Linked DNA regions of Canis lupus familiaris. The protein of the gene in region 1 interacts with the protein of each later gene in a pairwise test. Links are inferred from orthologs where the notes say so. Each region holds a gene or a part of one and is shown on either strand. Other genes may lie near its edges. The genes, in order: CCNK and CDK18.

Region 1 (3,814 bases):
AAGTGTGTCTAAAGAGTGGTAGAGCCCTGCCTTGTTACAAGTGTAAACTTCAATTTGCTAATTCTCATGTCTGAGTTCTGATACCCTGAGATCCCCTCCCCTCTTAATTACTGATAGTGTTTATCACTGATTTTGTTGTTATTGTTTGTCTTTATTTTTCCTCATTTAACTAATGGCATAACCTGTAACAATTCTCAGTAAAGTCCTTAACCAGAACAACAGACACTATGATACCCTAGCAACTGGAATAATTTATTTTCATCGCTTCTACATGTTTCATTCCTTCAAGCAATTCCCAAGATATGTAAGTATTTGAATTTTGTTCTAATTCTCTATCACATGTTGTTGTTTTCACAGTTTAGTGGACTGATTATAGTCTCTCTTTATTCTGTTTTCCAGAAAGTATATTTATAATAATACATGGCTATCTATAAGCAGTCAAGTTTGAATTTTTGTTTTTTCCAATTAACTATATTCAAGTCTTTTTTTATTTAGGCCACTGTGGATGATCATAATCATATTGCACTGTGTGGAATTTACTTCCTTACCTTTCACATGATAAATTTGGGCTTGTAATTGAGACCCAAAAAAAGGCCAACCAAAATGGAAGAGAAGTTCTTTACGCCAAATTACTTATTCTTCAGTTACTCCTTAAACATGCCGTATGTCTTACACTCTTTGGGAGAGTCAGTCAGGGAACGTGCCTTGAGTAGCCAGGATAGAGGGGATGACACGTACAGAGCACATGGTCAGTGAAGCCGTAAGAGAGGTAAGGAAAGAAGGCTGGAGCATTCAGAGGGTAGAGTAATACCTCCTAAAGGGATCAGGGAAAATGCCCCGAGGAGTTGCCAGCAGGCAGCTAAGCCTTGGCTGCAAGCAGGGCTTAGACATGCTGCAATGAGGCAGAGCAGTTAGTCCGACAGAAGCTGGTGTGAGCAGAGACACATGGAAGCGCACTATTCAGAGTCAGCCCAACCAGGGAGTCCATGTGGCAGGAATGGTGGAAAAGTAAGCTGGATGGGCCCATGGTGAGCCTTGAATGCTGGATCAGGGAAATCTGACGTTAGTAGGTAGATTGTGAAGTTGTCCAAGGGTTTCATAAGGAGGATGACAGGAGACTTACTAGGAAATTCACCTGTTGGGGATCCTTCCTCTTGTTTAAGATTTACTTAGTGTTGTACACATGTCTTACATACTGATTTGTGAAGTTCTAGAGGAAGAAGCCCGTGGCAGAATCAGCTTGGTGCCCTGTCTGATGCCTACTGCCCTTGGGGTCCCATGGAGAGAGGGCTGTGCCAGGGAGGCGGGCAGAGGCCAAGCAGTGAGAAGGCCAGTGATATAGGCACTGCATGTGGGTCCAGACAGCTGCACCAGTGGGAGAAGGTGTAGGAGATGGAGTCTACAGGACGGGCACCTAATTGTGCTCTTTTTCTGCAGCAAAGCTCACTGTTCAAGGAGCCATTATTAAGTTTGCAATGTAAAAAGAAAATGTGTTCCTATGATTCTTTTCCTTTCTGGCATCTACTTTTTTCACATGACATTTTCTTTAGAAAATTAAATTTTAAATAATTTATGAAGCCAAATTGGGAAGACCCAAAATCCTTGCTTCTGTTTCTCCATGAGTTTTGTTAACAGTATCTCAAGAAATTTTGTCTCCCTTTTAGGTGACGGGAGCTTGTTGTCTCTTTCTGGCTGGGAAAGTAGAAGAAACGCCAAAAAAATGTAAAGATATCATCAAAACAGCTCGTAGTTTATTAAATGATGTACAATTTGGCCAGTTTGGAGATGATCCAAAGGTAAGAATCTTAACTTCCTGCCTTCAAATCTTGATTCCTCGTGGTAGCATGGTGTTAAAGCTCTGTGTGTGGCCTCCGTGTCTGCCAGTCCCCTGAGCCCTAAGAAGGTCCTGTGCAGAAGGTACTTGTACTTGCTTCTGTCAGAGGAAGGAAGGTAACGTGGCATACACTTGCTAATGCATATCACTCCCTCATTTTGAGTACTTTCAGGGGCCCTAGCACAGTGTTTATGAGCAGAAATCCTCTCCTCACCATTAGCACTCCTAGACTGAGAAGCAGTTCAGCGGAGATGGCAGGGCCACGGCTCCAGCCAGCTTCTGGCAGCTTTCCTCCACCCCTGACTCTTGTCAGGGTCAAGTTCCACCCCCATTGTAATCCTTGTGGCACCTGCATGCTTCACAACATTGATCACAGCTGGTGGTGAGATAGATTTTAATCAGATCATCACACAAAGAGTTCTGGTCTTCTCAACTACAAGATCTGTGAGAGCAGAGACCATGTCTGTTTTTCCCTGGCACCTTGTACAGAGGCTGAGCGGAGTAGGCACTCAACAGCTACTTGAATGAATGACAAACTCAAAAGCACAGGTAGAGAAGAACTAATGAGGGCAGGGGAGTTCGGCACTGTCCACAGTCTTGCTTTTCCTCCCTCGCTGCTACTGCCCGCCACAGTAGACACCTGTGTCTGCCAAGCAGTGTTTATGTGTGTAAATAAAACATGTTCGTTCTCCTTCATGCTTCAAGGAGGTAACAGAGGCCCAGAATGCTTTTGTATATGTTGTATTTACAATGAATACTAACTTTATAAGTATTGTCAACATGGGTAACTCTGTTTCTTAAACTGATTTATAAATCCGTTCACCTGTTTCTAAAAATGTGAGTCAATTAGGAATTCATGCTAACGGTGATCAGAATGCAATTTAATAGAATACCTGTGGGTGTCTGATTTTTACATAGTAGGAGACAGTTGTAGGAATGTGTTATGGGCATGTGGCACTGCACTGGTGTGTGTTATCCTAGAGTGCCTTTGGGTGTGTGTTATCCTAGAGTGCCTTTGGAGAAGTCCCCTTTTACCTTTACACCTTTACCCACTATACCTTCAGATGAGGAAACTGAGACCCAGTCGGGCACAGTGAGGTACAGGTTCTGCAGCTCCAGTGCCCCCAGATGATAGGAAGGGGGGAATGAGCATACTATTCAGACTTTTACTGCAGGGTCCAGCCTGCCCCTCCTTTCTATCATGTGCGTCTTCCTAGAAATAATCTGGAGTACAGGGGCCAAAGGAAAGCACAGTGAAGTCACTGTGGAAGACATTTCCCTTGCCAGAGAGGACAGCGAGCAGGGCAGTTATTTGTGGGAGGCATTGTAAGCAATTAGGAAAAAGATTATGAATCATGTGGGACTTTTTTGCCTTTATGAGCTTTGCTTTAACTGTGTGTGCCTCCCCCCACCCCACCCCCCGCCCCATTACATTAATTACTCGTATGTTCAACAGATACTCTAGCCACCACTATGTGAGACTCTAGACCTAAAACAGGTGGCAGGACAGTCATGGCCTTTGCCATTCTCATGGATTTTATAGTGGAGTTGGGATAGATTTTAATCAAATAATCCTATAACTATCTGATTATGAGCTGTGATGAATGCTATAAAAAGATTATTTAAAGGTGCAATGAGGGCATTCAGCCTGGGCACCTGGACAGGTCCCCCAGACAAGAGTTGTGGGGCTGAGGGAAGGTTCCCTGAGGAATGATGCTTGCACACAGACCTATAATTACCCCATTACTTGAATATTTGAAATACAAAGGGAGGCTGGGCCTTGAGCTATCCTGTAATACTATACGGGCCACAGCCTCAAAACCTGTAGGTGCACTTGGTTGGAAGACTGTTCCTACATTGAAAAGTCATGGTGAAACTCCTGGGAAACAGGAAGTGCCAAAACCAGACAAAAACATGCCAGTGTTAGCAGGTTTTTTATATCATGGGGAACTTTCTGAGATCATGGAAAGCTTTCCTGAG
Region 2 (3,814 bases), on another chromosome or scaffold:
TCCTCTAACCAGTGCCCTCCTCTTGGGCCTCTGCTTGGGCTGTATCCTTCCCCCTTCTTCTCCTTTCACGGAGATTCTGGGTTTGCTCCAAGGCCCATCTGTGACTCTGTCCTTCACTCCTCCCTGTTCAGAATGAACTGTCCTTCCCATGAGCCCCCAGCAGGCTAGGTGCCCTTCTATTGTAACACTCATTGTGTTTCTGCTCAATGTTGGTGTTTACAGGTAGGTCTCCTTCCTGGCTTCCTAGAGGGAAGAGGGCTGTGTCTTCCTCCTGTCTATAAACCTTTGCCCACCACAAGGCCCCAACACAGAAGCAGGGTGCAGTGGTAAGAGAAACCGCTAATGGCATACAGTGTTTATTACCATGTGCCAGGCACTGCCTAAATGTATAAATGTTATTATAGTCACCTATTCTGATCTCATGACAACTCCAGAAAGCAGAGCAACTACATCTCCATTTGACAGAGGAAGAAACTAAGGCACAGAGAGGTCACCTAACTTGCCCAAGGCCACAGTGCTAGTAAATGGTGAAGTAGGGATTTGAATCCAGAGAAATACTTGCAGAAAAAGAAAAAAAAAAAAAGACTGGATTATGCCCCAGAGCCCACGGGCCCCATTCCATCCTCATGTCCTTCTTCTTGAGGACCTGGGACCCCTCAACACCTGCAAAAGGCTGGGCCAGATTGGACAGCCAAGATGGTATGCCTATACGGGGCGGGGGCAATGAGAAGACAGGACAGGGTGTGCAGGGGGAGAGTCTGTCCCTGCTCCTAACTGGCCTGCCCAGTCTCTTACCTCCCCCAGTTTGTCCAGCTTCACGTATGTTTCCAGTTTCCCAAAGCCAATATCTGACTGAGAGGGAAAGACATAGGGTCCTATGAGCTGGAAGGCTCCAGTAACCCCACATACATGATACCCCCCAATCAGCTTCCAGAAGGGAAGGGAACGAGACCCCCTGTCAGGGGGAGGGAACAACAGAGGCTAGCAAGGATGAGGGCAGCCACAAATCCTAACCCCGTGATAAAAGTGGTCCCCGAGCCTTAACAATACAGATTCCTGGGACCCACCACCTGGACTCTGATTCTGTAGGTATCTGGAGTGGGAGCCAGAGTCCATGTCTGCAAGATGCTCCCAGGGAAACATTATAAGCAGCCACGACCGGAAAGCACATGCCAGCTGCTCTATGGGTCTCACCACGGTGGGGCTCCAGCCCTGGGGAGGGCGGGGGGGGGCTCACCCAGGGAATGGACGTTGACCAAGGAGCACAAGCATGTGAATCAGCTGAGGCCAGCAGGTGGCACCAGAGGCCCACAAACTGCTGCAGGCCTCAGCTGGACCAGGCAAAACTGAGGTGTCCATGCTGGGGAGAGAGGGTGGTCCACCCTGGTGACCTCTGACCCTCCTGGGACTCACCAGGGATGCTCGGCGGGACATGCGGCTGAGTGGTTTGGGCAGGTCTGGACTCTCCAGCTGTAGCTTCTGCAGGAATTCCTGGGGTAGGCGGATGTCCATAGGCAGAGACAGCCTCTTACTGATGTCCTATATTAGCCGGGATGAGACGGGGACACCAGTGTCTGCTCCGGGTTACCTGGTGCTGTAGGACCCTTGCTTTTCACCCTGGGGCTGGCATTCCCTATAGAAGCAACCCTAGCAGGGCCAGACCCTAGGCTCACAGCTGCTTCAAAGACATGCTGAGACATCTGTGAACACCCGGGAGTTGCTGTGTGACCTTAGGAGGTCCCCTCCCCTCTCTGGGCTGCAGTATAACCCTCTATAGAATGAGATTCCTACGGACATGAGCCTATTTTTCTTACACATGGGCAATGCCTACAAGCCATAAGAACAGTGGCCAAGGGCAGCCCGGGTGGCTCAGCGGTTTAGCTGAGGACCCAGGATCGAGTCCCACGTCGGGCTCCCTGCGTGGAGCCTGCTTCTCCCTCTGCCTGTGTCTCTGTGTGTGTCTTTCATGATTAAATAAATAAAATGTTTAAAAAAAAAAAAAAGAACAGTGGTCAAATTGTCCAGCCCTCGCTATACCAGGACTGCTCTATGCGCTTGGGGTATATTAGCTTGTTTAATCTTCATGATGACCATTTTAACACAACGAGACTGGTATGCGGAGGTTGAGAAACTTGCTCAAGGTCACAGAGCTGATCAACAGCAGAGCTGGGATTTGAACCCATGAAGTTGGCTCGCAGGCCACCGCCCTCCTTGGGCACGCGTGGCTGGCGTGTCCTGCTGCACCCACAGGGGAGAGCCCAGAGCCCCTCACCTCCATGGAGAAGCGGCGCTGGTTCTGCCGCCGGTACTGCATGCCAGGGGACGGCTGCCCAGGGTCCTCCCCGCTGTCTGTCGGGGAGAAGGTGCTGGTCTCTGGCTGGGGGTCTCTGCTGAGAGGCCCGAGCTGCAGATCTGAGAGGGACAGGTGTCAGCTGCCCACCCAGCCCCTCTGTCCCCGGGGGGGAAGGGAAGGGGCAGGGACCTGTGCAGGGCAGGGGGGGGGGCCCAGAGGGGCAGGGGGCGGCCAAAGGGGTGCGGGGGGCAGCCGGAACCCTCACCCTCATTGCGTCGATTGTGTAGCTGGTTGAACTGCTCTGTGAACTCAGTCAAGGACTCCTCGATAGTCTCGGTGCGAGGCACTGACAGGGAGAGGCGGCGCTTGAAGTTCTTCATCTTGTTCATGGTCAGCAGGGGCCAGGCAGTGGGGCCTGAGGCGGGGGAGCAGAGAAGAGCAGGTGAGAACGAGGCGTCAGGCCAGCACACACTGGATGCGAGAATTCCGAGAATTCCGAGGTCTTGGTCTCCCAACTGCCCATTGAGCTCTGGGGCCCTGCATTCGGGAGTTGGGGTTGCATCTTCCTCACCAAGGTTCAAGGACCTCGCCCTCCTCCTCCCTGTGGACCCCGTTCCCCCCGGACACTCCCCTCCACCGCCCCTGGGAAGGTGGTCACACTATGCATTGGTCAGTATAGCAAAGTACTGCTCATAATGATGTGCCAGCAGCATCCTGAGGGCCTCACCAAAACTAGACAGTAACCTGTGAGCTGCTGGAGGTCTAGAGAGTTCTCAAAAGAGGCCTGGAGGGGCAGGGAGTGGACCAGAACTTGGGCCAATAGCTCTTTACTAACTTGTGTGTAAGAGCTTGAGTATGTCAACAGTCGGTAAGCCTTACTGATTGACGCCCAGAAGCTGAGCATCAGCTTGGCCTACAGCCTCTGACGTAATCTGGTCCAAACCCCACTTCATCCTGATACTGACCCCTGGAGGTCCCTCTCTGGCTGGCCCTAGGTCCCTGGATGACGGGAAAAGAGAGGGGACAAAGGGAGGGGATGTGTGCCTCTGAGCTGGCCCAGCCCCAGCTCTCCAGCTGAAATATGGGAGGTCGGGAGCTCGTCTCAGGGGAAACACAGAAGTTTGCTGGAAAAAGAGGGCCCCAGGGACAGGAAGCCGAGCCCCTCTCACGCCAGAGCCCTGATGGGGCAGGGTGTCCAGTCGGCAGGGTACACAGTGAGGGAGAAGGGTGGGCTACTCTGGTCCCCTCAAGGCCCCTTCCCTAGCCAGAAGGGGCTCCTTCCCTGAGGCCCCCCAGCCCCCTTGCCCTCTGAGTGAGGGGATACCCTGCTGGCCACGCAGTTAGACTGCTTCTTCCCGCAGACCCTTCCTTCTGTATCTTGCCCTGAAAATCCACCTCCTTCCCCAATCACCCCCAACCTCCCTCCATGATTTCGTAAGCTCGCCATGGCAGCCCCTCACCTTGCTCTGCCCATATCTCCCTGCTCCCAGGAGAGCAGAGACCAAGAGGCCTCACAAGTGC

What was found.
Region 2: the proteins of CCNK (region 1) and CDK18 interact in binary tests that used the Homo sapiens proteins (3 or more experiments, as listed by UniProt). The two-hybrid records come from large-scale screens. The link is inferred for Canis lupus familiaris from reciprocal best matches to the Homo sapiens genes CCNK and CDK18.

The regions. Positions count from the first base shown.
Region 1 is NC_049229.1:68,322,694-68,326,507, forward strand, and holds part of CCNK (cyclin-K), read left to right. Parts: intron 1-222; coding exon 223-304; intron 305-1,664; coding exon 1,665-1,796; intron 1,797-3,814. UniProt on the Homo sapiens protein: Regulatory subunit of cyclin-dependent kinases that mediates activation of target kinases.
Region 2 is NC_049259.1:2,576,495-2,580,308, reverse strand, and holds part of CDK18 (cyclin-dependent kinase 18), read right to left. Parts: intron 2,709-3,814; 5' UTR 2,683-2,708; coding exon 2,559-2,682; intron 2,413-2,558; coding exon 2,273-2,412; intron 1,540-2,272; coding exon 1,414-1,539; intron 853-1,413; coding exon 796-852; intron 1-795. UniProt on the Homo sapiens protein: May play a role in signal transduction cascades in terminally differentiated cells.